Linked DNA regions of Coturnix japonica. The protein of the gene in region 1 interacts with the protein of each later gene in a pairwise test. Links are inferred from orthologs where the notes say so. Each region holds a gene or a part of one and is shown on either strand. Other genes may lie near its edges.

What was found.
Region 2: the proteins of GRAMD1C (region 1) and CD151 interact in binary tests that used the Homo sapiens proteins (3 or more experiments, as listed by UniProt). The link is inferred for Coturnix japonica from reciprocal best matches to the Homo sapiens genes GRAMD1C and CD151.

Annotation. Positions count from the first base shown.
Region 1 is NC_029516.1:74,436,841-74,452,169, forward strand, and holds the end of GRAMD1C (protein Aster-C), read right to left. Parts: intron 12,770-15,329; coding exon 12,623-12,769; intron 11,797-12,622; coding exon 11,678-11,796; intron 10,657-11,677; coding exon 10,514-10,656; intron 8,837-10,513; coding exon 8,733-8,836; intron 8,025-8,732; coding exon 7,845-8,024; intron 7,035-7,844; coding exon 6,977-7,034; intron 6,474-6,976; coding exon 6,363-6,473; intron 5,596-6,362; coding exon 5,490-5,595; intron 4,597-5,489; coding exon 4,519-4,596; 3' UTR 4,372-4,518; downstream 1-4,371. Other genes in the region: palmitoyltransferase ZDHHC23, read right to left, coding at 962-1,229, 2,040-2,207, 2,948-3,637, 3,925-4,031. UniProt on the Homo sapiens protein: Cholesterol transporter that mediates non-vesicular transport of cholesterol from the plasma membrane (PM) to the endoplasmic reticulum (ER).
Region 2 is NC_029520.1:8,903,858-8,920,538, forward strand, and holds the start of CD151 (CD151 antigen), read left to right. Parts: upstream 1-9,421; 5' UTR 9,422-9,534; intron 9,535-9,565; exon of another isoform or gene 9,566-9,582; intron 9,583-16,681. Other genes in the region: CRACR2B (EF-hand calcium-binding domain-containing protein 4A), read left to right, coding at 1,284-1,398, 2,738-2,845, 3,392-3,468, 4,480-4,561. UniProt on the Homo sapiens protein: Structural component of specialized membrane microdomains known as tetraspanin-enriched microdomains (TERMs), which act as platforms for receptor clustering and signaling.

The DNA.
Region 1 (15,329 bases):
TTAGCAACAAAGTCAATTCTCCCACAGACTCTCCTTGAGAGGGAGTAGGGCAGCTCCTGTAAAGCAACAACATCAGGCAGCAGTCTGTTCTCCCCTCACAGTCGAGCGTCACATGTTTCTTCAAAACATTCTCCTTCTTACTCTGTATATTTACACCGGCTGTCTCACGTCAGAATCCATTACCAGAGCAGAAATGTTTTGAGGAAGATGAGACAAGCCATCAAACCAACACAAACTCAGCTTACAAAAAAGAATGATGAGATCAAAGATGACACTCTTCTCACCCAGTCAGAGAGACGGGTCAAGTGATGAGAAGATCTTACAATGCCCTACAGGAATGTTGCTCACAAAGGCACTTAATACAAGCAATAGCACGTATACAGCTGGATGGGATAGAAGAAAAAGAAAACTGCACCAGAGATGATGGAGCACTCAGCGACTGCCTGAGCAGACTCCTTGTTTTCCAGCTCAACAGCATGGCTTCTGCACCAGTCCATCCGTTTTCTATATATTAAAGTTCACTCTTCTAATAACACAGAAGCATTGAACGTAGATACAAACCAGAGATCCCTTAAGCTGCAAGACACAGCATACAGTCTGAAATCCAACAGCAGGTTCCCCCTGATGCCAGAGTTCACACCTAATTAAACTCAAGTTCTCATAACCTCGCGCTCTTCTTCCTGCCGGGCTGCACAAAGCTTCCCACGGTGCAGAAAGGCAGCGGGTTCCCGCTCTCCAGGTTTGTGCATATGGCTTTACTGCTTTCCGCATCCTATTGCTGGCTGATGGCACACAAAGAACCGTTTCTGCTTGGGAAAGCCTCTGATGTCTGCGATGGGATGGGCAGCCCATACACCGACCACGACCACGAAGGAAGGATGTGGAGGAGGAAGTTCTAGTGGAAGGGGGCCGTTCCCCTACTAAGGAAAGTCAGTCAACGTCATCTGCAGAAAAAAGGGTGTCACACAATGTCTTCAGCAGAGCGCTGCTGGGGGGGAGAACCCAGACTCAAGAAATGGCCCCAGTTGCATAGAAAGCCCCTGTTATATTGGCCAGTGTCTATCACTAACCCACCCAGAAGCCTGCGCCCAGCGTTGTCCCGCAGAGCCAGCCGAGCTTCCCTCTCGGTCACGTTGTAGCTGATGTTCAACAGCTGGATAAGGAGGATGTATCCCATGCCAGCTGTTACAATAGCACAGTACCACACACAGGTGAACGACAGAGCAGAGCTGGCAGCAGGGAAAAAGATGGGAAGGAAGCCATTTAGTTTTGGAGCAGCTGCTTTACAGTGACTTTCCCTGGTAATCACTACCCTTTCAAATCCCTATCTACATCTGCCACAGTGATCTCACTTTGCTGCTTTCATCACGTAATCCTTGAAGGCTTTCTCAAAATTAAAGCTTTGTGGCATACTTAATGACAGCTTTTAGCACTACCAGAGCTGCTCTTGTACATTCCTTTGGTGTTACCTAGTGCTTCACTCTTACTGCTGTAAAGATCTTACTTAAAGAAACAATAGTGCTCACGCTTGACAGGTGATGGAGTACAGAAGAAGGCAGTCACTTTGCTGCTGTACTCTATACAGCAGTGGTAGAACGAGTCTCTGAACACGTGTTTGAAGCTCCTCACCCTGCTCCCAGCCAGACAAAGCATGTTAATGCTGTATGAGCAGATAACTTGAAGTGACAGAGCCATTAGACAAACGCCGTCTCCTTCCTCAATGAGACAGCACACTGATTCCAGTCTGTTGGACTATTGGCATTAGCTGGCAACAAACACCTAAAGTGTCTATCTACACAGGACGCTGTAAATAAAGACTTTTAAGTCCTGGCTTCTCCAGCAATTTGCTCAAATTGTGAGCTCTCTCACAGGCCCCCATCCTTGGCAAAAGCAGAGATGCATCCCTGCTTTCCAGAGCCATTTAAGGGCTTCTAGATCAGGCCTGACGGCCAATAGCACTGGTCCTGAGAACACAATGAAGAATAGCTAAGGAGCTAAGCTGCCTGGTCAGGTCTGAGTTCCCCACCCAGTTCTCTCACCTGTAGTCAGAATAGGCCCCAGGGCAGTAGAACAATGCTGTGAATGGGGTTCGTCCCCTGCAGATGGTGTCCAGAGTTAACATAATCCCGTACAGGGAGGTGAGCATGAAGAACAACAGTGCAAGGATGAATGCATGGTGGTTCTGCTCCCCTACACAGCTGTTAATCCTACAAAAAGGGAAAGCAAAAAAAGATTACTTCAAGGGGAGAGAAAAAATACGTTGGCTTCTCTTTCCTCTTCCCTCCCCCAGCCACCAGAGAACCTGATTTCTAAGGTCTCTCTGCAACACAAGAAGCTTCAAAGCAGCTTTATAGCTTTTTATAGAAAGCTTCTAAGCACAAGTCAATAGACCAGTAAGGTAGGAGTGGGCAACTGTGTACTCCAGCAACCTGCAGGTACCAATAGCTGAAACACTCATACCTCACTGCTCCTTGGTTAGAATATTGTAGCAATGACAGCTTTGGGTTCCCCTACATAGATCGAAAGGGCTGACAATAGCAGGACACGGGGAAATGGTTTTAAGTTAAAAGAGAGAAGATTTAGGTTGGATGTTAGGGGGAAGTTCTTCACTAGGAGAGTGGTTAGGCCCTGGAACAGGCTGCCCAGGGAGGTTGTGGATGCCCCGTCCTTGGAGGTGTTCAAGGCCAGGTTGGACGGGGCCCTGGGCAACCTGATCTAGTAAATGTGTATGTTTGGTGGCCCTGCCAGGCAGGGGGGTTGGAACTACATGATCCTTGAGGTCCCTTCCAACACGGGTCATTCTGTGATTCTGAGATACACAGATGAAAAGCAACCCCACTTCATAAGATCTGGGGAAAAAAAAAAAAAAAAAAAAGAAAAAAACCCACCCAACTTAAAAGAAAGAAAAGCAACAAAAAGCACATGCCTTTGGCAAAGCCAAACGTACCAGACACAGTGATGATCCAGTCTCCTCACACACCTGCCGCACAGCCGGCAGTGCCCCGCTCGGGCCGGCCTGACCAGCTGGCACTTGGCACACCAGTCCATTTTCACACCTTCCCGCCCCTCAGCCAGCGCTCTGGAGTGGCCTTTGCTCTCCCCATTCACAGAATGGCCGCTGGCAGCAGCTCCATGGAGCCCGTTGGAGCTCCCTCGTACATTCTTGCTGGGAAAAGCCTGCTGCGATGGCTTGTCATCAGCCGTCGAGATGGGAAGGTAGCCAGGGTCTTTCTTGGCTCTGGATAAAGCCACCAGCATCAGAATTAGCCCACAGGTGAGAAGCGCCACTTGGGAATACCCCACGTGGCCTCGAGGAACCACCTCCTGGAGAAAGACATAGTACATGTAGCCCAGGGAGAACAGTCCCAGGCTGAGGAAGAAGAGAGTCCGTTCCTTCCTCCTGTGGGTGAGGTAGTAATACCACAGCACCACGGCGGGGAGCGAGGTCAGCACCACCAGCCCCAGCAAGAAGTGCAGAGCCGCGACGTGCAGGAAGACGGGGAGCAGGACCATGGGCGGCACGAGGCTGACGTTCACCTTCACGGCCCCGGCAAACCACGGCACGCGGCACCGGTCCGCGATAGTGTCGGCGATTCTCTCCAGCGCTCCGGGGGGCAGCGACCTGCAGCTCAGCCACCTGTTCGGGGTAAAGCGAGGCGCATCGCTAGCGGCCGGGCGGGCAGACGTGGGTACCTCAGCGGCATCCCCAGCCCTTGAGGCTCCCCGCTGACTCACGGCCGCTCGCCCCTCTTTCCTCCTTCACCTCAAGGGGCCGCAAAGTTCCCCGACGGCCGACGAGAGCCGAACCGCCGCTCTACACCCGCCTCCCATCGGCCGTATATAGAAGGCAGCCCTGTGCTCTGAAGGAAGGAAGGAGACAGAGCGGCTCCCGACCGGCCGCTCCCACAGCCCCGAGGGCGCTACCTGTCGCAGGACTCGTCCAGCTCCTGGCAGTCGCAGCAGCACGCCGCCAGGTGGTTCCGCTCCCCCCTGCGGTCCACGTACTCGCAGCAGCACAGCGGCTCCTCCATCTCCTCCTTCCGTGTCCCGGCCCGAGGGCGCGGAACCGACGGAGACAACGGAGGGAACGGAGGCAGCGGGGCGCGGCCGCCCCTCTCCCGCCCCCCTCTCCCCGCCGCAGGTGCCTCTCGCTGCCGGCCGCCCCCGCCTCCCGCCCCGCCCCGTCCCTTCGATCCCCCCCGCTATTGGCCGCACAACGCCCCGGCCACACCCCGGCGCGGAGGCGGGGGGTGAGGGACCCCCTTCCCTCAGGGCCCGGCCACCTGACGGCGCGGCGGCCCAATGCTGGAGCCGGAGGGGCGGGACCGACGTGACGTGACGGCACCTGGCTTAAAGGCACAGAGCAACAGGTGGAGGAAGGCGGACGGCCCTTTATTCCACCTTTATTCCACAAAGTAGAAAAAAAATAAGAGTCCGAAGATGGTTACAGTCCCTACTTCACAAGTCCTTAAACACACGTCTTCTCTTCTGAGGTGCCGACATTAACTCTCATGGGCATTAACTCTCAGTCTTGCTGCTCTGTGTCTTGTTCAAGTGATCGAAGCTTCTTTGGAGCATGGAAAGGGAGAGCTTGAGCTGTGAAAACAAAGAATTGGGGAGCATGATGCGTTAAGTCTTTGCTCCTGCCCCTTGCAGCAGCCAAAGGTGTTTAAAAAGGCTAATAATGCTTCAGAAACTGGAACTGCTTGGGTAGCAGGCAAAGAAACCCAAAAGGTCACAGAAACCAATTCATTTCTACAGTGAAGCAGCCAGCGAGCTGTGATCAAAAGAGTTAACAGAGTAATAGCAATTCTGTGTGCAGAGACGTCTAAACAAGAAATAGGGGGGAAAAAAAAGTGTTTTTCTCTACCTTCCTGTAGTGTGTGGGAGAACACAGAGCCAACTGCTGATGGATAGAGGTACATGTGAACTCCCCCACAGCTTTCCTCATCTATTAATTTCTTCTGCCATATTTTAAGATTTATTAAAAGAGCTAAAAACCAGAATATTCACGGGTTGTAAATACAAACAGCATTTCACTGAAGGTTTACGTGGCTCTTTGATGCCGTGATTAAACAAAAGCTCTCTGCAATAGCAAGGAGGAATAGCTCAGATTAGCCTGCATGAAGAAACCCAGTGATGAGGTGAGCAAGTAGTTACGTTCTGAGTCTTGAGAATAGATGATCAGTTTTGAATAATTCCAGTCTTGCTTTGTCATGACTCAGAACTGCATCAACAGACCCCATCAATAAAGGCACTTTACAGGTTTAAGAGAATTGATATGAACGTTTTATTTTAGTCCCATGAAAGATCCATCAGAAACATGAACGTTTCCTTTGCATCAGATTCAAGCATAGGACAAAACTGAGGCCAAAGAGGCGTGGACTTTAGTTAGTATCACAAAACATTAAAAGCTATTCTGGCATAAAGGAAAAAAACTTGAGCTGTTGAAAAAAATGAGTATCACAAGGAAAGCTGGGCAGACTTACCTGCTCAAGCATTTCAATTGAGTCTCTTAGTACTCCCTTCACGTGTTTAACCTGTTCCTTATCATATTGAGGGATCTCCTCTTTCGATCCCATTTCTGGGGATATGCTGCAAGAGATTGAGATTGCATCAGAAACATGAAACAAGCACCTCTGTGCCTTTCTATCCCAAAGGAGTTGCTCTGTTACCATTACTCTGACATTGCTAAAAAAACATTGTTTCCAAAAGCCACAGAAAAAGGTGCCAGCAGTTGATTTTCAGTTCCTTTTGACTTGAAGATGCTGCCTCAGACCTTTACAGACAACAATCACCAAGAACAAATGTGCTCACATAAAGCCTGCAAATCTTTCTATGAAAGAAGTCACTCCTATCAGTTCTGAGACCTTCGCAATGGGAGATCACCATAATCATGACCAGGTTATGATTTATGCAAGTAGTGTAGGCAAATAAATAACAAGCAGCAACTTCTGAGCCTATTCCACGTGCCTGAAAGTAAAAGGCATCTAACACGAAGTTAGAAGGGGAGAGGGAATTTTGCATAAAAGCAGAAGCTAAGTGAATCTTCAGCGTTATATTTGAGATCATGCTGGTTCACACAGGATGAAACAAGTAATTCAGTTCTGTGCTCAGCAATATGATATTCACAGCAGATGAGTCACAAGAAGGTAATAAATGCAAGCTATGGTTAACACTTTACCAAGGAAGACGCAATCAGACATGTCACTAGACATCAGCATAGACCACAGAACAGTAACAAGTCATAGCAGCTTTTTAGAACTCACCACCAGGATTTGTTGTTTGAAATCTATTTCTTTCTATCAGATTCTGAAGTAAACTGAGGGAGAATGAAAGCTAAGATTGTGAATTCCACTTACTTCAACGAGCTCTCTTCCTGAAGCTGGACGTGATAGAGGGACTGAGCTGCATGCTCTATCTTTGACAGCTTGAGAAACAGTGTTATATTTAGCAAAACCAGGAGCAGCAAACTGTAGAGACCAGAAACATGAAGTCAGACAAAGTTTATATTATTACTGTTACAGTGCTACAGAAGGAAGAGCTGGGCTACAAACATCTAGGGAAAGAAAATCCTTCTGGGCCAAAAGTAACTGCCCCAGCGCTATACTGAATTTAAAGATTTATCTAAACAATTCTTAGCAATTAGCTTTAAGCTGTGTAATGCAACCTGTAGGAAATGACAACAGTGCCTCCTCTTGGACCTCTTAGAGGTAGGAGTGAAGAAATGTTAAGGATTTTTTGTAGGATCAGACATAAGAGACCTGAAAAGTGGACAAGCTTGATAAACCAGCATTTTAATTCTGTGTGTCCTTTCTGAAATCAATCCACCCCTCTCTTCTAATTCCTGTATTTACACTCCATATGGGTTAGGATTGGTTGTGCTACAAGAAACGTCAACATGCAAGTGAGGTAGGTACAGGCAGATAAAGACCAAGACAAGTTAAGCCATGTTTTAATGCAAGTAAGTACTTACAAGACACTCATTACTACAATGATGGTAGTGGTCCTACTAATAGCATCTCTTTTCCTTCCTATAGGGCATGGAAGAGAAGGTGGTTAAAAAGAACTGAAGAACATTTCTAATGCATATACACATCAGTGCTCAGCATTTTGTACAGTATAGCGTCACAGCTTCTGATGGACATAACAGAACACTTGGGTGCACAAGAGTCTCTCCAGAATTCACTTGATGCACTTGGTCACTTCTGTAGCCATCTCAGGCTGATCTCCTAAACAGTTCCTTACATTCACATTCCTTGTCCTAAATGAGGAACATGTATCAAAGCTGCTGCAGCATACACTGAGAAATACAATCTCCAAGGCAGAGCAGGAGTGGCAAAATTAAGCTTTCAGGAAGTAATCTCACCGGAGAACAGTGGTACAAAATCCACCATTCTCTGGTAAACATTAGTGAACCAGATGTTCCCCATCTCTTTAAGCGTAGCTAATATTGTACATGCCTGTACAATACAGAGGCTAAGTCTGTCACGCTTAGCGGCACAAGTACTCCAAGAAATGCTTCAGTGACCCAGAAGCTAAAAGAAGAGACAGAAAATGGACTCTTTAACATTACCAAAAAATGTAAATTTTAGCATTTCACTCCATTTTCATATCAGAGAAAGTAGGATTAAGTTTGATTTCATGACATATAACAACATAATAGCTGACTGTGTGTGTTCTTGGTCTGTTTTATGCAAGGCTGAACAGTCTACACATCTTCTGTCACACCAGTTAGATAAAGACGAGAGCAGCATACGCACAAGCACTTATCTTGCATTATTATAAAAGTTAAAATTTCTCAGGCAAACCTTACAGAAAATAATGAACGTAAGAATTCCTACCTATGATGCTACCCTGGGACTCTAGCCCCATGTCACCAGATGAGTGCTGGGAAGAGCGTTTGGGAAGTGATTCTGCCAGACTCCGGTGTAAAGTGCGTCGTCTTCGCCTCAGGGCGACTAATTTTCCAGAGTCTTCTATAGACTGGTTAATTGCATACTCCTCCATTAGCAGTTCTGATTCTGTAGTGGAAAAATAAGGTTCCTGAACTTTGGAAAGGAACATTGAAAAGCCTAGCCCTAGTGACTTAAATTGTAAGTGATATATATATGTGGTGGTAATGAGAAGAAAAAGCGCATCTTCCAGATGAACTTAAATCAGGTAATTGACATAAACCACATCCCAACCTACACAGTCTGTCCTCTTTGCTATATGGCGCTTGTACACTTTTCAGATATGATCTATATTCAGTCTATGCAGGATTGTTTAATGACATGTTAAGCAGCAGTTGGAAGAACACTTCAAGACACTGTTAGACTGAGACTAAGAATTGTGTTAGACTGCGAGCCAGCAGCCAGAGCTTGGCCAGGCTGTTAACAGACATAGCCAAGGAGCCTGCCAAGTGCCACTACTCTTCTTCTCATACCCACAAGCAAGGAAATACTTGTGTTAAAGACAGGGGCACACAGTTGAGAGTAACAGCTTTCCTCCCGCTCCTCATGCATCCTTCAGAAAGCAGTTGCTGACAAGGTATACAGGAGTTTTTGGCTACCACGGCTATTTATGTTTACACACTCCAGAATTGACAGGTATATTGATGACAGGAGATTCTTTTGTATGCTGCCTTCTTTTCAAACCATTATTTAAAGAGTCAAGTTTGACATACGTGAAAAAACACAGAGGAAAAAACGTAGCCTCCTGACTTCAGTAATAAGAAGAAAATGCCTCACCAAGTTGTTTGAAGTTCTCCTGTATCCCTCCCCAGGTGTTCTTCTCGATTACAGATTTGACAAGGCCCCAAGGCTGCTTTTTGTACTTTACTTCTGCAGAAACCCTAATAAACAGAATGCAACAGTGAAGAAAGGAAGAAAAAGGAAAAGAGGGAAAATACACAGTGCATTGTTAGGTAGCACAGTGATAGTAGAAATCTCTCTTCAGAGAGAAGCCTCCAGCTTACATCCATTGCCTGAAATATACCTGAAATACCAACTGGAGCTGTCTCAACTTTCCACCTGAGCAGCTCTCACACTGAAGTGAGGCGAGAAACAGATGCACGCAAAGACAACATACCCAGTGAAAGCCTCAGGAGATCTGAATGTCCAGATCACTGGAAAGAAATTAAGTTTGTCTTCTCTTCAGGTTCAGAGTTTCTCAACCTGAATTTCTCCTCTGTGAACTGTTCTGATTTTAACAAGCATTTGAAATAGCCCTGCAAAGCCCCGCTTTTTACTCTGTATGCGCACTCATGATATAATATGTGGGGCACAGCAATATGAGCATGTGAAACTCATCACTACCAACTACGCATCCAGTACTAAGAACCTACCTTGAGTAGATAAATTAAATTGTCTCTAAAGGAGCACAACACAGGGAGAATGGCATTCCTGATGTGTTTCTCAGGTTATGCTGGTCAGTAATGCTTCTAGAATGGAAAAGCACTCAACTAGAACCCTGCAGAGGGCTGCTTCTAACAACTGAACAAATCCCAAAGCTCTTCATAAAGGGACCAAATTATAGTCCACAATCTTTATTTATTAAAATGAAGAACACTAACCTTACTGGAATACACGCTTCTCTCCAGCTTTTTCATTTAATCATCCCAATCAGCATATGCATGCCAAGCTCCTACTCTAACAAAACAGCATATTTCAATAAATTTCTGAGCCATTCCAAACAGCATAAAGCCAGCTGTAATACTAGCATGCACGTTCTGTTCGATATAAGCATGCTACTTATAGTCAAACCCTGGCTTTTGCACTTATCCTAGGGTTGTCTCGTGCCTCAGATAAAACAAATAAAGCCATCAAAAAGGAGTAATGACTCACTCAGTCATTCAGAGTGGCTGTTCAAGGACTTTTCCTTTTTCAACCCAGTGGGGGAGGGAGTCTTCAGTACTTTTATAGCCAAGGATAAGCCAGAAGGAAAATTAGGCTTGCTTACCTTTCCTTACCTTATGTTCTGATGAAGTTTGAGATAAAAAGACTTGAAGAAAAACTACCAAAGATAATACAGTCTGTCACACAAATGCAGTGGACAAGTAACTTCATCACTTCAGGTGTTTTCAACAGGAGAAGAGAAGGAAGTGTCTCAAGTCTCCTCCACCTACCCTGATAGTAACAACAATGCCTAATCTGCTTGAATTGCCTCTCTGTAACAATGAGTGTGCTTCTTCACCTTGTAAAATCATTCTCCCATGCAGGCCATTAGCGAGGGTATCTCAAACTTTGTTAGAAAATATCTGGCACAGTTCTAATTTATCTCACTTATATGACTGCACTTGAAACCATAAGGCTGGGCAGAACCAGCCCACAGCCACAGAGATCATCTCTTATTAGTGTAAGCAGACATATGACAGGAGATAAACCAAGATTTTTATTTACTTTTTTTCCCCCAGAAGAGATTTCCAACTTCAATAGAAAACAAACCTTTTCTGTGCTGCAGGAAGATCTTTTGGTAAGCACATTTCAGCAACCTGCTTCCTCCCCTCCCACTGCACACCACTCAGGCTCACCGTAATCGACATTTGTGACTGGACGTGCGGCTGATGTAGTATCGGTTCACAGTGTAGAAATAATCATGGTAGGGGACATCGTGGGTCAGCACCTCAGCATCCACCTGATAAGACTGACCTTTCTGGCTCTGCTTATGCAGGATCTACCACAAAAGATAACAGAAAGGGATGGGTATATTCTGTATTCATGGGTTTTATTTCATTTTTTTTTTCTTCATTTCAAACCAAACTGCTTAGAACTGCTGGATCAGCCAATTCTAAGTGAACTGGAATAGATAGAAAGACCGAACAACTGTGACAGAAGTCTATTAAGAATGGTAAGAGTAGTGAGGTGGGATGTCTCCAACCAGACCCAGCACAGGAGGTAATAGTTCACCATTCTTCTTCTCCACTGACATTTCAAATACCAAACGCAAGACTGGCCACTGACTCTTGACCACAGTTCTTTGGGATTGAGCTGTGAGCTATGTTTCCCAAGCCATAGGCACAGAAATATTAAGGTTAGATCTGGTCCAAGCCACCTGTTCAAGCAGGGACAACTAGAGTAGGTTGCCTAGGACTATGTTCATCCGGCTTCCAAGGAAGGAGACTCTATAACTTCTGTAAGAAACAGAGGTTTGCTTTTGGTTTGGCACCAAGCACCACTGAAAAGAACTTGGCTCCATCTTCTTACTACTCTTCCCTCGGGTATTTATGTACATCAACAAGATTCTGCCTGAGTTTTCTCTCCCGCAGGCTGACCAGTGCCAGTGCTCTCAGCCTTTTTCCCATAGAATTACTGTTCCAACCCTTTATCTTCTAGCTCTTCACTGGACACTTCCCAGTAGCACCACCCTCTCTCATACTGGGGAGCCCAGAACTGGACTCTTGAATGCACTCTGTTTCATCTTTTCTGACTGCTCTAATTCGTACAACTGGTCAACACTGCTCTCCCCAGAGTTTTCAGTAGAAGTTCAGCCATGTTGAAGTTCAAATGCCCCTTTGATTTAATCAGTACTTATTCAGTAATAGTGAAAGGGATAAAAGAACACCTTCTGAGATATTACATTTGAATTGGAGATCCACATTCAGCTCAATGAACTCCAGCCCATGATCAGATCTGACAGACTGTACAGCTCTCCTTTGCTCAAATGGCACCAAACAGACACACATACAGACAAGTACCTGCTTCTCAGTTGCAGTCGTAAACTTCCCACAGAGTGGATTGTTAATTGTTACAGTGTATGTCAAAGTCCTCAATTGATTGCCACTGGAATCTCTATTCCAAGGGGTTGATACAGCATCTAAATGACAAATTATGCAAATGCACATGCAGGTCACCCAAAAGGCATCATCTCTGCCCTGTCATACCTTAAACTGCAGTTTAAGAACAGTGCAGAGAGGGAAAATAAAAGCAGACTTCAAGCAGTTAGTTGTAGTTTTTCTTTATTCCTCCAGGAAAAGGGAAAACTGTAGTTCACTAACTGAGCAAAAAGTGAGTCAGTAAGTAGCTGAATCTGAGTCTAATGAAAGAGGCTCAGGGTGCGGAGAAGAGTAAGCAAGTAAATGAAAACGTGCTGTTTCCCATCTGCTTGGAAGTTCAATAGATTCACTTAGCAATATTCAAAAGCTTTTGCAACTTTGCCTTCCAAGCTAATACTGAATGAATATTACCCTTTTAACTTAGTTTTCTTACCTTATTATCTCAATGAATAAAGCTTACTCATCCGGAAAATTAAAGCCTGCAAGTAACATTTAAGAGGCTGCAATAATTTCATCTGTGCGCCAGCAATACAGATTTTACTATTTCTGGGACACAATGGAATCAGAAATACCCCACAGAATGCAACATTTTTAATATCTTACTCAAAATTCAGGCATCAAGTGCAGGGCTTTTTTTTTTTGTTTTTCCTCTTAAACACCATTAAATGAAGTTCTAATTCAGAAGCACGATCGATCTACAGAAACAAGCTAGCTTTTAATGTCTACTTCCACAGAGGAAATACAGAGCTGCAAAATTCTTTTAAAGCAGGAGGAATAAAAATCAACTCAGTTCTCCTTAACATTTCTCAGAGGTTGAAATTTTCAGGGTAAACTGCAACACGGACAGAAGGAAGAAGAGTACATTACCTACTATGCTCCTGGAATTGAGAAACCTCTGCATGAAGTGAGAATTGGTGAAGAGGATTTCGAACATCTTGTCTGCAGTGATGTGGAAAACTCTGTTTATAAAAAGTCTCCCATAGAGATCATTCTCAGAGGCAGCCTCCTTCACTGCTACAGAAAGGCAGAGGGATCAGGTTAAAAAAATAACAACAACATTATGAAGTTTCTTCGTAGCATTAAACTTTATTACAGCTCAAATCCTTTCTAATCTTGCATCAGTAATTGCTTTTTATTCCCAGAAACCCAGAAATGTCAGCAACACATCATTTTGTAATGAGATGGCTTTCAGGAGCAAAGTCAAGAGCTGGTTTTCTAGACCACTTCTCACTATTTCCTTATACAAATGACTTGATGAATCAACAACGCAAGGTCCTATCACTTGCTGCTTGTTGGTTCCTGGAATGGCTCTGCTTTGTGCCTGTTTCAGCCACTCTCACAAAACATACAGAACAGAATTGTTATCCTGGAGGGAAAGCAGTTTCCTATGCCAACCCCAACTTAGTCTGCTTATGCTTTAGAAAAGAGTCCATCCTCAGCTATCAGTGAAGAAGAAAAAGCCAAACAAAGCCTAAAATCCCATCCCCACCAAAAAGCCTGACAATAAATCTCATGGAAGCAAAAGAAAGATAGGACACCTAACCTTTCAAATGATATAAATAAACACCCAGAGCAAGCAAAGGTCATTGCCAGCACACAATGCAAAGGTAGTCTGAATATCATGCTACAGTTCACAAAGTGCCCATAGGCTAAGGTTACAGCACTTAAATCGCTATTATTTGGTAGCAGTCAGTATTGATAAATGCAAGTACATCAACTAAGTACCGAAACAGAACTCCTCAGGGAAAACCAGTTCTGACTCTGAGTGGACTTCAGCTCTAGCACTGCTTCTAGCCTGCTAGAAGTCCCCATTACATATATACATGTCCCCAGAAAAGGTAGCAGGTAGCTAGAAGTTCAGCTTCAGTTTTCAGCTTATGTTCAGAATTTCCCCTCAGAGCTGAACCTGCCAAAACACAAAGCAAACTGTCTGCATGACCTCAGCTAACGAGGCCCCAACACTGCAGACCTCCTACCACAAAAAGCATTCCCCACTTCCCACCCTTTGCTAAGAGAGAGGGGAAGCTTCAGATGTGCTGATGCCTCCATTGATTACTATGCATCAGCTAATTCATATGGAGCCAGACAGTAGCTAATCCAAAGACCATCTTTTTATTACTTTAAGGTCTGTACCTTGCTACTGAAATATTTTTCACTTTAAGCATGAATCTCTCCTCCTTATACTAAGGCTCAAGCTAAAGAGCATCCACGGGTCTCATAATGCTTTCACTTATGGATGAATTTCTGTTAGCTGGTTTGCCTACACCTACAGCCTGGACACCCTTGTGATGGCCTGAAACATGCATGTATTAACACCCGAATTCCACACCAGCAGCAGCTGGTCAGTGCAGGTACTGAGAGCTTGACAAGTCACTTTCATCTTCTTAGAGCACCTGCAGAAATCCTCCACGAAGCAGTGAGCACAAACAGCAACATAACTACAGAATAAGTATGTACGTTACACACTTGCAATCTGGACAGAACACACAGCTCAAATACGCTCTTTTGCTACAAATAGAAATGCATGTTTGTCTGTTTCCTTTGGTTTAACTCATAGGTAAACATACCTACTTTTTATTTATCACAATTCCAAGGCAACGTCAAGCAATTTACCTAGAATTGGCTTAGAAATACTATTTATAAAAACATTTATCTTCTTGCAAAAATATCAGTCTAATCCCTTAGCCTTCAGTGCTGTTCTAACCCCTTAGCAGTATGCAATTACCAGCTGTTAACTCTCTCACACTGAAAACATTTATAGATGAATTGGAGATACTGTCTGGTAAGATAATATGAAATTACTCTGACTGCGGGTTAGGATCCCAGGGACCCAAAAATCCAGAAACAAATATTACCCTGAGTATCCTTGTTCTAAATAGAGACAGCAAACCTGCTCCCTCCCCCACTACCGCCTTGCACTTTGTAAGGTCACTTCCATCACTGCAAGGCAAGCTTGTGAAATACCGTTTGCATGTAAAACCATTACGCACCAGGGATTGCAGAGGTTTGAAAACATCTGCAGTGTGAGACAAGGAAGAGATGGAAAACTGGAGGGGAGTAGGGGGAAAATGGCCCAGGAAAGAAAATCCTGCTCATTGATTTCCCACTAATAACCAACAGCTTGTGAAGCTAAATACATGCTGCAAGCAAATTAAAGCTGAACCAGTAAGAACAGAGGCTATCCAACTAATCACTGAGACTTCTAATTTGTTCACTCTGTGGAGATGAGGGAGGGTCAGGGGAAAAAATAAAGTACATACACAGCTCTTGGCACTGCCTGGGATTTCGGTGCCCCTGGGAATAGGGGGAAAATTGCACACTGTGTGAATAATGTGCAGGTCAAAGACTTAAAACAGGCCCACTTCAATAGAAGTCAATAAGGCCAATTTTTAGACGGAACATTTTCCAGACACCACCTATTTAAAGATTGTGTAGCAGTGTTTGGCGTTATAGTAGAATTCTACTATATTTTAAAAGACCAAAGTGTTAAATTAACTTAGAGGAAGTACTGAGAAATATTGCTATCTTTTTCCTGCTCACAAGATAAAACTTAAACCTCTCATCCTCAGATATT
Region 2 (16,681 bases), on another chromosome or scaffold:
TCTAAATGAGATGCTTCTTTGAGACCAGGTTGCATCAGAGGCCAAACTCACAAATATGTTTCTGCAGAAAGAAAGTATGCCTCTGAAGTATTAGCAGGTCTCAGGTGTGTACTTGGAAGAAAGAACTTGGCTCATTGCTGATACTGAGTAGGAAGAAACCAAAACTTTTATTACTTCTAGAGATAGATGATTTACTTCTAACTGGATGTGTACAAGTGCATATCCTATAACAGAGGAATTTTTAGTGCAGGGACAACTCCTTAGTGATTCCCCCAAGTCTGGTTCATGCTGTATTTGACATTCTTTTCTGGAGCATTTAGCATGTCCTGTATTTCCAGAGGTGTGTATTGACTGCCAAAGACACAGTCTGTGCTTTCTCAGTTGGAGTAAGCTGCCAGAATGGCATGCTCTGGGTGTAGTGAGACAGTACAGGCTTCAGGCAATCAGCTGAGGAGTTCAGCAGGGTCACTACTAGCTGCAGGTTTCCTTGGCTCTTAATAAGAGTGCTTGTTAGCCTGCTCAGTGTGGAAATTCACAGCTGTCTGGTGGGATCTTGGTACTGATGCTGCGTTTATTTCCATCAGTTTTCAGGCAATATGACAACATGGCCTTATGACAAACTGCTTAGAGGTCTTAAGTGGTTATTTGTGTGTTTTAAATTGGGATTTACTCTCAAAATACAAGTCTGTGGTTCTAGCGGGAGCCCACAGGGCAGTGTAGATGTCTGGTGGGAGTTTCACCTGGGAATTGTTTCTAACATCTGAATTTATGTATGACAGAATTGCTTTATAGATTTAAAATTGGGAGTGGACTGTATTGATGCTGAGATCTTAACTGCAGTTTTAGCAGCACCGGGGCAAACATGATGCTCTTAGTTTGTTATGTGCTACAGCTTAATCTGCAGATTCTTCCAGACAGTAGAAAAAAGTTCTTTTTTTTTTCCTTTCCCATCCATTTCCTTTTTTTACAGGCAATTACCTTTTTCTACCTCACCTAAGCAGGCTATTCAGTGCTTCTTTCCTTCTGACTTAGAAAGGTCCTGCTTTCTTAGCGCTGTGTGTCTGGAAACACTCTTTCCTCATGGCTGCCTGGCATGCTGCACAGATGGGCTCTGAAAAACCCAAGGATTTAACTGGATTGTTACCAGTCTGTACACCAGCTCCAAGCGATGCATCTCATGCACAGGGGCTGCAGGGAGCACTAGAAGCCAGATGATCGTGTTCTGTTTTGTGTCATTACACCGTCATGGTTCTGAGAGTGCCTTTGGTTTTGCTGGTGCTCAGGTTCCGGAGTATCACCAAGCAGTATTTCCGGAAGGCGGATGGGATTCTGGTGATGTACGACATTACAGCTGAGTGCTCCTTCATGGCAGTACGGAACTGGATGAGCAGCGTCCAGGTGAGAGCGGGGCTTGGGCTTTCTATTGCTGGCAGAGCTGCCTATGCCTTGCTCTGATCTTGCTCTGATGGTCTGACTGGGATCAATGCTCCCAGAGGCCTCAGGAGGTCCCTGGGGAGATGGATGCACAAAGCAGATGTTATGGATGTACTGCCTGTGGTAACGTGTATGGAACCAGGGGCTTGTTGACGGTATGGTGGCAGCCCATTAAATGAGGAGGGATGGCAGAAAGCAGTGGAACCTGCCAAACAGTGGTATGTGTGAGTAGCTGGTATGTGCCGGTAACATCACCAAACATCTGCTGTCACACCTATAATTTAAATAACGTTGTGTACAGCTGGCTCAGAGTTGCAGGGAAAAAGTGTCAAGAGTGGTTTTGCTTTGAGATCGTGTTGTATGTCAGAAAACACATCCTAAATTGAAAGGATAAGCATAGGTTGGAGGTTTCTAGTGCTGTAAATTTCACAGGCCTGCTGGGCAAGGAAAAAAAAGCTTATCTGTTTCTCTAGACTTCATAAGATCAAAGGTTAAGATGTGTCAAAACTAGACTCTGGAAATCAGACTCCTTTCTGGAGGGTTAAACTGAGCACACAGGAAAACAAAGCACCCAAAATGTGTAACTTTAATCATTTCTCATCTTTTCTTTCTTTCATCTTAGATTTTTTTCTTGCTTCGAAACCTCCGCTGTTCAGGTATTTTAAGTCCTCCAGAACAGTCAAATATGGAGATAACTTAAGCCTTATTCTGCAGTCTTACTATGATGATGCCCTAGTGGAACATAGGGGGAGTTTCAGCTTAGATAATGGGCTCCAGGAGTTGCCTAGGAATAACAGGTGGTAGTATAGAGACCCTATGGCAGCAATGAAAGCTGCTTAACCACTTACAGTGCCTTTCAGGGAAGTGATGGTTGAGTTCAGGATAGCTCATCAGATGAATAGTATCAAATAGAAAACAAAAAGGTTTTAACCGAAGTCCTGCCTAGTCTTAAATGTAGTTTGCCCCATTAAGCTGTTGGAGTTTTCTTTTGCCTTCTTATTTTCCAGAGAAGAACTTCTTCCATGCCTTTCCTCTCCTAGCATCCCAGCTGTACACAGCAACCTACTGAAATAGATTCCCATGGTTTAAGCTTCCCTGCACAAATCCCTGGGGCTGCTTGAGGAACGGCCCTTAAATGAGCTTAAAAAGCATATTGTGGCAGCTCCTTCAGGGACCCTAATCCTGCTGCCACTGAAGTCAATGGCTGTGCTCTTGTTTTGTATGATCTGGAGCAGGACCTGCTCCAAGAAATGTCTGTCCCTCAGTGGAGGCTCTGGGGTGTTTTGCTGTGTTTCTTTTGCAGGAGGGCATTGAGGATGGAGCTGTGGTTTTTCTGCTTGGAAATAAAATGGATACCTCAGGGAGAGAGACCCGGAGTGTACCCAAAGTGGAGGGGGAAAGGCTGGCCAAGGTGTGTCTCTGTGCTCTCCTGCTCCACTTGCTCTACAGCCTCCTTCCAGCTGTGAGCTGGACTGGTGGAGAGCCCTTCTTGAAGCCATTTCCCAGTATGGTGCTTTCCCTCTCAGCCCTCACTCTGATACAAACATGTACCAATGTTCCTCTGGTACCTGCCCTGCTTTCCTCCCTTGCTGCCTCTATTTGTGTGCCTGCTGCTACCTTTATCCTCTCATCTCCGAGGACCCTGTGGGGAGGGTTTCAGAAGTTTTACCCATCCTTTGGACTTAGCAGGATGAAAGTAAGACAGTCCACTTATCCCAAAAGGATGGTGTTTCTTCCTAAACACCTCCCACTTGTTACCTTCCTGACGTTCTATCTGGGCCTTCAGTTGCTGAAAATGCATCTCATGTTCTGGTAAGGTGGGTACAGCAGTAGCAGCTACGTTGCTGGCCACATGTGCTGTCATTAGAGTTTCTATTGTCAAGGTGGGTCAGTGCCCGGGGGTGTGGATGAATGCTGGGGGAGAGCTGGCAGCTGACTCTGCTGTGTTCTTTGGCAGGAATACAAGGCTGTCTTCTATGAGTGCAGCGCTATGACTGGCTATAACATCATGGAGCCCATGCTGCACATGGCCAGGTTAGTGATGAGAACAGTCACTCTGGGGTATTTCCCCAGCTGCAGTTCACTGGTGGGCTCCTAGGGAATGGACAAGAAGAAATGCTGTCAGACGCTGACTTTATGCTGTGTCAGTAAATAGACCTGGAGCAATAGGTTCTTCCACACTGACTCCACAGCCCTGTCTTCTGTGGCTGGAGAGTACCAAGCATAGGCTGGATGTCATCACATGCAAGTCTTCCTCTGGCAGAGCTGGCTGCTGAAAGATCAAGAGTTTAACTTGAATATTACATCACAAAACTTGGTGTGCTATCCCAAATTTTAAGCTGGCATTTTCTATTTGCAATCTACATGCATCTCTAAGGAGCGGTTCATCCATACAGAACGCAATGTTTTGGAAGTAATATGTTTATTGCTGAGGACAAGGAAGGATAAAACACCTTATAAAGCTGAAGGAAGCTTGCATTAAGATTTTTAGTTTTTCAAAAAGAACTTGTGTTTGTTCTTTTTTTACTCTTTGAAATCTTGTAAGAAAAATATCCTTTTTGTTTTCTTTTATCCCTCTCCCTCCTGCTGTATCACCTCTGTTAAGCTCACAGCAGGACTTCGGTGTTTATTAACTGTGATGATTTAAGTAGATAAATCTTGTCTCCCATAGCACGTGCTTTCAGCTCATTTTATTACCGTGCTGCTGCCAGGCATTGCTCAGAGAAGTGAAGAGAGCAGCTTGAGGTTCTACCATCAGTGCTGGAGCTTGGAAACAAGTCTCAGGCCACTCGTGTTCAGTCTGGTGTTCTGAGTACACCACGCTGCTCCCTCTTGTCCATGTTCAGTTCCTTCCTGTTTCTTTGGAAATTCACACTCATTTTCTGTGTGTGGTTTATCTTGTTCAGCTGCCAGAGGCAGCCTGGGCACTTTTTACAATCCTAAACAGCCTGATGGCTGATGGGAGAGCAAAGGGCACAGTCAGATGCCACTGCAGGAAGAGCTGAGTAGTTTGATTTTGTTCTTGATCTGTGCTGCCTGTTCCAGGTTGCTGACAGCACAAGAGGACAGGCAGAGGGAGAACGCCCTGCAGCTGGAAGATGTCAGGAGGAAAGGGTGCTGCACATAAGGAGCATCGGTATGTCGGCAAGAGCCAAGTGTGGGCACCATTTCATGAAGCTGGGATTCCTTCTGAGCAAGTTGAATCTGCTGGTATCTGATCTGCAGAGGTTTAGGGAAGCTGCAACTTTTCCCCATCTGGGAATTTCAAGGCTCTGAATCAGGGCAGAACGTGCATACGATCTCTACTGTTCCCTTCCCTACCTGCATGTCCAGCCCTGGTCATTGGAGGCCTCTGATCTCTTGGGGGAATTTGGCAGCAGCATCTTTGTTCTTTAACAGCACAGTCCAGCTGACAGCCTGCTGAGGTAGATAGGGAAACCTTTGCCTGTACTTGTAAGATCTGGATCAGGCTCTGTACTTGGTGGGAAATCTGGTTTGACTTGCCAACATTGTGGATAACTGATTCCATATGTGGATATAGCATGAACTGCTAAAACCATTCATCCCACTGGCCTTCTTCACTGTTACCCTAATGAACTTAGCTACTCTCCTCGTACTGTTCACAGAACACAGAGCAGTTGCCTTGGGACTCTCAGGCAACTGTTGTGCTGGCATGTATTGCTGTTCCATAACGTGTTGTGGGAGCTGTGCTGTATCTGCTGGGGCCATGTGTAGCCTGTTTTAAGGCTGAATGCTGCCTGTTTCCTCCCATTCTTTTATTCTTTCCTGAAAGGTCTTCAGCAGTTAGGAGTGGATGTATCCGCAGTACTGAAATATGCACAGATCCCACCCTGCTGGCCTGACAGCAATGCTTTGAAATGTACTTGGGCTGGAAGCATGAGGCGGCTGCCTCAGCTGCAATGGGTACATAAATGCATAGGCCTGTATTTATCCACTCTTTCCTCTCATGGGATAAGGCGATTACTCTGGTTCCAAATAGCTGTTTACTGCACAAATTTCTCTGGGAATATTCCATGCAGGAAAAGTGTTCTGAATCACTTGCTGCATTACACAGACTTTCCATGGTTCCTCCCAGTGCCATTTACTTCTGGTAAGGAAGGGGAAGCTTCTCTGTGGAAGAGCCAGGTTCCTGATTTAAAGGAATAGCCAAAAGCATTAAGTGTCTGCTCAGTACTTACTGCTGACTGTGATTCTTGCTGTTGTACAGCTGGTGGATTTAACTGCACTAACTGACCAGGAAATAGTACGTTATAAGAGGTCCCTGAAGAAACTAGGGCTGTTGGTTTTGAGCTTAGGGTAACATCAGCAGTGCTGCCAGTGAAACTGCCTGTGTTTGCAAGGATGCTTGGGAAGTGAAATCTCTGTTCTTGGAAAACACAAACCTTTAGACTGCCCTGTACCAGATGATTGCCCAAATGCAGGTGTGGATTTTGTGCATTCTAACCAATGCAACCATGAAGAAGCACAGACACTGTTACCTGCTACATCAGTACAGCTCACTAGCTGACTCGGAGGAGCTGCTGTCAACGATTCATTTGCATCGTGCTCCAGTGGTGGGTTAACAAGGGCTGGCAATAAGAATTGACATCTGAAGTCTGGGCACATGGATAACACCAAAATTTACCTGCAACAGCTGGGCAGGAGTTTGGAAGCTGCAGCAGAAGACAAGCGTGGTATCTTATCTGCTAACATGGTTTGAATGCGCCACTCCCACACTGTGTAAAAAAAACACATGAAAGATAAAGAAGTAAAACACACCTGGCACACAGGTACCATACAGTATGTGGTAATTACCTTCCTCCGCACTGTCATTCTGCTACAGGAGGAACTACCACGTGTTTAGTTTTGTTTGTTTTTGGTTGGTTGTCCTTAATGTACAGTCTTGAGGATGTTTTCTTAGCGGGCAAGGAGTGTGCAGGCAATAAAGAAATACTGTCGTGCAAACGGTTGTGTTGAATTTCTTTTCAGGAGTTGCAAGAGATTCAGCCTCGCTTGATTGAGTTGCCTGCTGCAGCATGTAGTGCTCAGGAAGGGCTGAGAAGTCTGTTCCTGGTGTTGGTACATATAGGAGACTTCTAAGTAACAAGCAAGGAGTGGACAAGAAACACTTGTTTCCAGAGAAGCACAGGAGCAATTCATCTGCTGTCATCTCTTTTCTCTTTAAAGCAGCCAGGATCTGGATGATCAGGGAAGGCAGAGCAGAGGGAACTAAGGAGATGCTTCCCCAGAGCCTTCAAACACAGCACACTGTCTCCTTGTATCTATGCTTAAAGAACTAGACATATTTAATAACGCTCATGCATCCTGTTCACCAGTAAGGAGTTCCATAGCTCTTAGTCCTCATGCTCTATATTTATTTCCATACGTCACTGCCTTACAGAACTGTCTATCCATAGCTCTGGCCGCAGAAATTATTACTCATTTCCCTTGCTGTAAACAAGCAGCACCAGAAGTAGCGCGCTATGACTTTTTTTAGCAGGAACAGGGTGAACTTTTGTTTTGCCTATGAAAAAGTGGCACAGAGGTTACGCACTTGGACAGCAGTCAGCACTAGGGTGTGTTTTATACTGGATGGTGTGATGGTGTTTTAGTGGTTTTCTGGACAGTATTTACATTTCCTATTGGAAGACCCAGATACTCACAACCAACAGAAGCAGAAGAGCCCTTGGATGAAAATGGATGTAATGGATGAAAAACAGACTGCCTGAGGGTTTATTGCTGCACTGCATTGGCTGCAGTCTCTTAGTGGACAGGTGACTTTTTGCATGTAATCTATAAAGAGAGTATATTTCTTACAGCCTGGAAGCCTATCCTGGCACATGCAGCAGTGCAGCTGTGTATACAATCGGGCAAGGAGCAAAGAAGAAAAAAAAACCAGCTGCTCTGACAAGCCCCCACAGTCCCACAAAGCTCTTGCACGCAGACAAGGGGACCCTCCTTTGCCTTGCATTTCACTCATCTCTTTCATGTTAATATGCAAAGGATAAACATAACAGGATTAGCCTGACAGCACCTCTTTGGCAGGCCAAAATAGGGATGAAGAGAGAGCATTAAGCTGTGGTGCTAAGTTTAAAGCTTTCCCACGGGACGAATGAAGGAAGTGCAAAGGCCTTGGATGTGTGTTTGTACCTGTGACTATGACAGGTGAGACACAGGCAGGAGAGCTCTGGGAATGATCAGTGGTATTGCGAAAAAGCCCCTATAAGAGGTTAGATGAGGATCCTGAATCTCTGCTGTATTAACACTACTGCTTCTACTTTAACACGTTGGGGACATGACAGCATCTTCCACCCATCTCAAGCACCGCCTTCTTGTGGCTGGAGGCTCAGTGGGGTTGACACAGTGCCTGGAAAGAAACTGGGCAATGCAGGACCCTTCTTGCAAAGGCTCATCATCAATCAGTGATACAAAGCATCTGCACCCAGCTTTTGGCTGTGGCTTTATGGGGTGCCTTTGCTCTTTCCAGGCAAGCTTGTTCCTCAGGTGCTGCACATAGGAATTTCACAACTGCATAGTGGCTCGCCAGTTGCCCTAGAGCCACTTTATTCCAGCAGCTTAAACTCCAAGAGATCCATCCACACACATTTAATCAGTCCCTTTGGGTCTCTCCTGGATTATTTTCTATTCTATTACCCTCTACTGTTCATATTTTTTCTCTCTTTTTGCTACTTAATTACTTAGTCCGTATGTAAAACAAACGCTTCATGTCTGGATATAGATGTATATTGAATACTTTATTTGAAAATCTCTTGGCTCCAGTAGATCCACAGTACTGCAGTTCAGCACTTTGGTAGCTCGTTGAGCTGCTGTCAGTCTGCTCATTACTTATCTGCCTGTTAATGAGCCATGCTGAAATTTCACTTGGTGCAGCTACAATAATCTGGCTCCAGACTCCTTGGGCCCCCAAGGCACACTTTAGACATCTCAAGCCATGCAGTTTAATACAGCCTGATTCTGCGAACAGAAGATTAGCTGCTTGCTTCTTTTGAAGTGAACAGGCCACAGTAGAACTGGCTAGATAAAATTAGTTGTTTTTTTGAGGTAAAGAGATAGCTAATTAAATGTTTACAGAGGTTGCATTTGCGCAGTTCTGAGCAAGAGGTCCTGGTGTGGTGGGGGTTGGTCACTTCCCCTGGGTAACAGTGATAGGATGACAGGGAATGGCCTCAGGTTGTGCCAGGGGAGGTTCAGGTTGGATATTAGGAAAGATTTCTTAGAGGAAGTGGTGATGCAGTGACACAGGCTGCCCAGGGAGGTGGTGCAGTCACCATCCCTGGAGGTGTACAAGGAAAGGATGGATGTGGCACCTAGGGATGAGGTCAGTGCGTATGGTGGGGATGGGCTGGGAGATGGACTCAGTCATCTTGGAGGACTTTTCCAACAGAAATGGTTCTATTTAGTGACTGGGTACATGGGTCCCTAGTTAAGCCAGTGGAGGCCAACACCCCGTAGGCCCTCATCTGGCCTTTTCCCTTACTCTCTGCTCAGCTCTCACCCTAAAAAGCTGTAAGCCCACTGAGGGGAGTAGGTGGGTTCTCCCTTCCTACAGACCCCAGCAGGGCCGGTAACTGCGGTTTTTGGACTGAAGTTGCAATGAGGTAATGGAAGCATGAGGCAATGCGCCAGTCAGGGCTTGATCTCGATGTGCAGGACGCCTCTAAAAAGGGAAAGGCTCGGGAAAAGAAGAGCTCGCGTTGTTCGCAATGCGGTGCCTGCGGCGATGGGAACGGCGGCTGAGGTAAAGGCGGCGGGAGCCAGAGCTCGCTGCTCCAGGGCCGCGCCGCTGGCACTGCAAGTGGACACAATTCGGGGTGCTTTGTTTTGCTGTAAAAGTGGTTTATTTTATGATATTTCTCAAAGCCGAAGGGGCACCCACAGCCCACGCCAGCCGCCGGGCGGGCCGTACTTGAGGGCTCGCTGCCGAGGCACCGCCCGCTGGGCGTCCCGGGGCTGTGCCGTGCCGCCCTCATCCCGTCCCTCCCCGCTTCCTGCCGTGCTCCTTTCCCTCCCTCTCTCTGCTCTCGGCAGGTCGGGGCTCGAGGCGGAGCGGAGCACGGCGGTGCGGCGCTGCCGCTGAGGGTGAGGCGGGGAGCCCCGAAATGGCGGACGGACGGACGGAAGGACGGGGTGTGAGGGGGAAGCGGCGTGTGGGACGGGGAGGGGAGAGGGGGGAGGCGGCGTGTGTGTGGTGGCCGTGGTCTCCGAGGGCCGACTGTGGCTTTGCAGAACTTCCCGCAGGCTTTTCCAGTTCGAAAGGTGTTTTCGTGTCCTGCCCTTAGTTAAACTTGTAGGGCTGCTCGAGGCAGAGGATGGGGACGGCGGGGCCGACTATGAGTCCAGGCGGTGTCCCGTTGCCTGCACGTGGGGAGCTGTATCGGTGCTGCTGAGGTTGTTGCTGTGCTGTGTGTCCCTCTCCCGGTAGGCTTTGCTTACAAAGAATGCAAATTGCCGCACGTTTAACAGCAAAGTAGAGTCTGGTTCTTCTCGAGGACATCGATGCTCAACCTGTTGCAGTATCCTGCTGTATTCTGACAATTACTTAGCGCTAGAAGTTTAGGCTAGCCCACAGCATCCCTTAAAGCGCCCTTCCTGCATCTCCCTATCTGCCTTTCTTGCTATAAGAGCTCAAGCGGTGTCTGCTTGAACAGGAGGTCACTAAATGCCATCACACACCAGAGCTGGTGACCGGGGCAGCCATTTTCTTGAACCAGTTTTGAAACAAGTCCTTTTGTCAAAACACATTTCTATTGCCATGGGTGAGGCTGTTGCTTAGGCTCCTAAGGGATCTTTGGTGCTATAGATGCTGTCTGGGTGTACCTGGAGACTCTCTCAGACAGACGTCCTTCTCCGTCCTGCTTGACTATTACTGCTATCAAACGGTGATTGCTTGAGATGAGGAGGGCATAGCGTGGCTCTTTTGAGCTGTTACAGGCTGAGGTGAAGAGGAAAGGAACTGCTTCAAATATGTCTCAGCACTGAGCGACTTTGGTCTCAGTAAGTCTGGCCATGGGCAAAATGAGTGACAGGCTGAGCAGGACTGCTTGGGCATGAGAGGTGACTGAGTTCACTTAAAGCGAGTGCCTGGTAGTCCTTAACATAAACTGGGGTCTGATTTCCTAGCATAGCCCCAGGCTTTCATGACTAAGGGAGCTTGGGAATACTTGAGGCAGCATCACTTAGAGTTTACTGGAGGCATCTGATGGCAGGTCCCTGTCAAAGAGAGGTGTCCTGCATGTGTGGGTCTTTGCTCTGGCTCTCTATAGCTGCTCAAAGATGCTGGTATTTCAAGTCAGATATCCTTGCTGAGAGCTTGGGTTGTGAGTGGGAGCAGCTGGCAGCCTTTGAGCTCCTCTGTGTAAGTATCCTGATGTTACATCCTTGCTCTGTAGTGTCCTGATGCCCTCATGTTCCTGTTATGGACATCTTTTTGTCCGTATGCCATATTTCTGCAAAAACATCTTGTTCTGAAACTTCAATCAGCTACTCAATGCTTGTTAAATAATAGCCTAATTACTTGGTAGAGTCCTGTAATGGGGGAGAATCACTGGTCTCAGTTGCCTGGTGAAAGTCCTGGCAGTCCCTGCTCTACGTTGGCCTCAGTAAACAATAAGAACATATATTTTCTGTTTGTTTGGAATAATGTCCCATGTGTGACAGTCGTTCATGTTTCACTCTGGAGTCCAAACTGGTTAGTCCTTCCTGCTGTATGTTTTTGTTTTGCGTGTGCTTAACAACCACATTTCCCTTCTCTCAAGGCAGGTGTACTATGGGAGGACTTACTTTTAATGTCAAGAGCAGAGCGCTGAGTAGGAGGAGCTTTGATAGCCTGATTGGAGCTGTGGCACTCCTTCTCTTGAACCCATTACAGAATCCATCTTCTGAGTTACCAAAGAGCACCACTCAAAAAAAGATCCTTCATAGGTACTTTGGCTTGTGCAGCCTTATGCAGAAGGAAAGCACCGTGCCAGTTTGAAAGCGAGCAGGAAACAGGCACAGCAATTTGGCCTAAGTCTCTGAGATAAACATGACCACATTTCCTGCCCTTCAGGGTTTTGCTCAATGATTTGTGCTGTCATTAGCGCTGTGTAGGATGAACAGCAGCAGCCCTTTGCAGCGTTGCTTTTCCTTTTGCTGCCAGGTAGTTCTACTAAAAGCAAAACATGGCTTGTTCTGTCAGACTGCAGCATGGCACGGGGGAGATGAACTGCCTCACTTCAGTCCCATTGACTGCCAACCCTTTGCAGCTTGTGCAGCATCAGCAGCTCTGCTGATCAGTGTGAGATTTTGTGGCTGTGACCCCTGCTAGCACAGTTTGGCACGCTGTCCTGCCATGTACTGCCTTTGTTGCTCCTGCTTGTCTGCAGAATTGCTGTGTTCCTCTCTCTTTCCATGGCCCCTTTTCTTCCTCCAAACAGCAGACGACTAATCCAGCCTTAAGCGAGTGCTGCCATACTGCTCTTGTGCTGGCTTACGCTCCATGTTGCTTCTTTGTGAGTACATTAAAGCATACATTGTCCAAGTCCTGGCTCTGCAAAGGACATTTGTGTTGTGGCCTCCTCAAATTTTTGCCATTGGGTGTGAGAGATTCTTCAGCAAGGGGGTGGAAGAAAGCTGCTTGTATCCCTTTGTGAAGCAAAAATGCTATAGGTGGGGGTGGCTGATGGCATGGTATCTATCTGTTAAGACGGTTCCAAGGAACATTCCATATTATTCACAGCTAGTACTAATATAGTATACTGTATAGTGTATTATATAAGTATAGTACAAATCTGTGGCTGTTTTCTTTGCACATATACAGACCAAGGAACAATTCTCTTGTTTTGAGGAAGCCCTGCAAGGCTTGTGAGCACTGTGTCCTGTAGTTGGTTGACCACTGGTAAATTCGCTTCTGTGAAGCCTGGCTTCTGTTTCAAACAATCTTGTCTGGCATTTCCAGGTCTCTCATAATGCAATCATGCTGTTCCTGTGATTCTTCTTGTGCCTTCTGCCTAGGAATAAAGCTTTGAAAGATAAAATGTGGAAGTACCAAATGTGAAAAACAAAAAAAGGGAAGCTTTGCTGTTTCGTGTTCCAGTCTACTGCTGCTGTCCTTAGTGGCTTTGTCAATCTGTCTCTTTAAAGCTCATGAACAGACCCTCCTGCACTCCCCAGCTGCATCTCTGCTCCTGGACTTGACACTGGGTATCTCCAGCTGCTCCCTGACCGCTTGTACCAACAGCTGAGGTTGGAAGACTGGAGGGAGGTTGTCTCCTGAAAACTACAGTGCATCCTTAGCTGTGAGGAATAGCAATCAAGTCTAACTGGTTGTTTAAAATCTAAATCCTTCTGGTGAAGACCAGGTCTCCTTCCTTCTCTCTTCTTCACCTTTCCTTTCAAACTCTGAGCACTGTTTTTCTCTTGCTGCAGCAGGCTGCGCTTTGGCAGAGCTCTCCCCCAGAGCAGTGACCATCACTCCAATCTGGTAGAAACTCCCCTTTCCTTGTGCCTGAAGCTCGAGTGCAGAGGGAAAAACTGGAAGAGAAGGGCTGCAGGATGCAGATGAGGTGATTTGTCAGGTCTGTGGAGAGCACCTTGCACCATCCCTCCCTCCTGAGGGCACAGAAGACATTTGCTGCCAGCTCTTGGCAGACATCAGCACTGTAATAGCAGCACTGATGAGCATCTCGGCAGTGCTCTGCTCCTTCCCGCCTGTCAGGCTCCTCTGCCTGTGATCTCAACAGCCTGGCATCCGGGGGAATGTTTTCAATCAGTCCTATTAATCTTGAGTCCTGGCTGCTATACCGTCATAAAATTCTAGGCAGCAGAATGAGCAGGAGGATAATTGCTGTTTTACCCTCCTGATATTTCATGCCAAAATAAGAGAGGTGGGAGCTGTGTTTGTATGTGAGCGGCTCAGTCAATGTTTCTCACACCAATTGCTCTTGCTAGTCAGGTGCTTGTGGTTCTTCCCTGCTGGCTGGACATGTGCCAGGGGTAGAAAGGATGTAAACTTAAGTAGCTGGTGGCACATGTATGTGTGTATAGCGTGCACTTTTTGATGGCAGCAGTGCTGGATGGTAGTGTTGCTCATCTAGAGGGATGGGAAAGGACATCAGGAATTAATATTATGCAGAGGTTAATGGAATGCTTAGCAGCTATATAACTTCATTTGGATATTTTGACCCGCAGCAAAGTACAGACAAACACCGTAGTGAGCCCCATGGTATGAACTGTAGGCTGCATCCATGCGGGCTGCCACTGAGTTGCTTATCATACCTATTGCTGAGCATGAGTGTAAAGGCGAGAGTGCATCCAAGTGAGGATGTGGGAAGCAGCGCGGTGAGAGGAAACAAAACAGATCTGGGGAAAGGCCAGAAATGAGAAGTGTGGGAGGTGTGAGGAGGGATGTCGCTCAGAACCACAGGTTGTTCCTGCTAGTTCTCCCGACAAAGGCCCATTATTGCTGAGCCAGAAATAGGTGACATCAAACGCTTGGCACTGGCTGTTGTTTCTTATCTATTGTTTGTACTGGGTCTGAATGCAGGAGCAAAGTTCACTTTTGCAGCCCAGGGAAACAGAACAGAGCAGGGGGAGCTGGGGCAGCAGAAAGAGTTGCCAGGCTCTACCTGGATATCTGTACTCAGAGTTTATCCCTGTAGCTGCGGAGCGAAAGGTGCATGCTCCTATGAAGCTGTGTGGTTGTGCTGAAGTATGCAGCAGGTTTCCTATATGTCTTTGCTGTCAAAGGATTGGGACAGGCTGGAAAGAAGAAATACCTTCTGGAGATCTGGATGAGCTGAGATTATATCTGATACTTCACCGTAGAACACTTCCCCCTTATGTGGGAGAAGTAGACAAGAGAAACACCAAGAGGCTAATTACTATTTTGCACTCCAAGTACTGTGTGCCAGATGGAGTTGGGGTTTGGGGTCTGAATCGTGTTTGGGTATGACCAGCTTGGTCCATGTTTCTAACCACAGTTCCTCTGCCTGCTCAGGTGGTTGTGGTTCTCCCATGCCAGCTGGAAGAGTGCAGTGCAGGTCTGTAGGTGTGTTTCAGGTAGCAGTGCAGTCAGCTCGATGAAGTGTAGGTGGCTCCTTAGAGGGATGTAAGCATAAGAAGCCACTAGTGGAAGCAGATTGTTGGTATTGTGGGCAGTCAGGAAGGTTAACAGCTTGGCAGCTGGTCAGATACAAACTATGGCTTACCAGCCTCATATACACAGAGGATTTTAGGCTTGTGCTGGCTCTGTTTATTTAGACTTTCAGCTATGTACATCACCCAGCAAACTGGTCACTTGTGAATGTAACTGGACTGCAAACAATGGATTATTTGACTTTTCCATTGGTTAAATTCACTTCAACCAAGAGGTGTCTGGGGTGGGAGTTTCTGAAGGGGGGGGGGGGGGTTCTGTTGTGTTTGAGCCTTGATGGATCTGTTGTCTGCTAATCTGCCAGAGCAAAAGCAGCAGTGTCTGCGTGGTTGTTTTTAGAGTGCTCTGTTCCTCAGTGACCTCAACAGTTCAACATTAGAGGAAAATAAGGGGGAAGCACAGATCCAGTCCTTTTTGCACACTGTGGGAGCCAGCATGTGGATGCCATTCATGCTGGCATGTCTGGCATGCCAGCCCGTGAGCGTGGAGGAGGCAGGCGTGAGTCACGGCTTGTGAATGTCAGCATCTCTTCTTAGCTTTAGTGGAATCCAGAAGGGAGGAATTCGTGCCCCCATATCATCCCCCATGTTGCCCTGGAGACAGAGGTGATGTTTCTTTTTGCTTCCTGGTGGCTGTACGCTGCAGGCTGAGCTCCAAGGGTGACTGCAGGGAGCCGCCTATGCGGTCCATCTGTTTCTTAACTATAAACTCCGCACGTGTTTGGGGAAGTGTTGGGCTTTGTGCTTGTCAATACAATTCGTTCAGCACAGGAGGGGTGGGTCTGGTGCAGTGTGGGAGCACCTCTTTCTATGTCTGGGGAGGAAGAACTGTTGGGCTGCTAACTGCTGTGCCTCTCAGTTGGGACTTGCTGCTGAGAGGGGAGTGTACAAGTGTTATTGCTCAGCTCCTGTGCTGTGCTTAGGGAATGAGTCTAACAAAGCCTGCTCTGTTCATTGCCTGTTTGTCAGGGCTTTCCTCTGGTGTATTCCCAGGCAGGAAAAAAAGGGAATTTAAGCCACTATACTTATTAGAGGGGTAAAATCCATTGACTTCCCAGGCTGTTAGCCTTGGAGTTGGTCGGGGTATAGGGGAAATGTGGGCCTTGATGGTTACTCCCATTTCTTGAAGTGTTTTTTTTGAGTCCTCCTGGTACTGGAGAGTTAATCCAGTTTGTCCCAGACAGGTAGGATGGACTACTTGAAGCCTTTAAAATTATAACCTTTAAAATAGAGGGAAGTCAAATGAGATTATATGGTCCCTCTAGATGTGAAAATTGGCTCTGCCCGGGGGGGGGGAAGAGAGTATTAAGTATCAAACTCCTTTTAAGAGTTCCTGTAACAAGGCTTGCTCATACGGTGCTGGAATCACCTGGAGGTGTGTTGATGGAGGCAGGATTTTTCAGCTGCATCTGAAGAACAGCCGTGGTGTGCTGACACCTGTTAGAGGAACAAGAAGGTTTCTTACCATTTTCTTACCCCTTCCTGTTCCAATTGAAGCAGACAATACCGATGGAGACCTGCCAGAGCCCAGCGTGTCTGTGCTGATGATAGCTCTGCTCCCTTCATGAAGTCACCGTCGGTCCTTTGCCTGTAGTTTAAGTGAAGCAGCGTGGATTACCTTTGTGTGAGTACCCAGTGCTGCTGTGAGCAGCTCTAGCTGATGGCTAAGGGTGTCCTTTACAGCCCTGCTGGAGTGTGCTCTGGGCCTGGGGACTGCTTTTCTGCCTTCAGCCTTGGCGAAGGGCCAGCAAGTAATTGCCTTGAGGACAGCCCTCTCCTTCCAGTTATTTATTCACATGCTGATGCTTCCCTGTCAAGTTTGCAGGCCGATCTAAAAATAGCAGCATAAATGGCTCTGGTGGAGTCCTTGAAGCCTGTTGTACAGGGGGAGAAACGTTGTATTTTTGGCTGGGGATTGTTTGATTTTTGCTGAAAGAATGATCCTTCCTCAGTGCAGCCTCATGCAGTGTGGATTGGGTGTTTTCACTATTGCTTCTATGGCAACTGGAAAAGAGGCAGCTCCTATGGACTGGGCTCTCAGCTCCAGAAAATGAAAAGTCACTTAATTTGCCCTTGGTTGTGCTTGATATTTGAT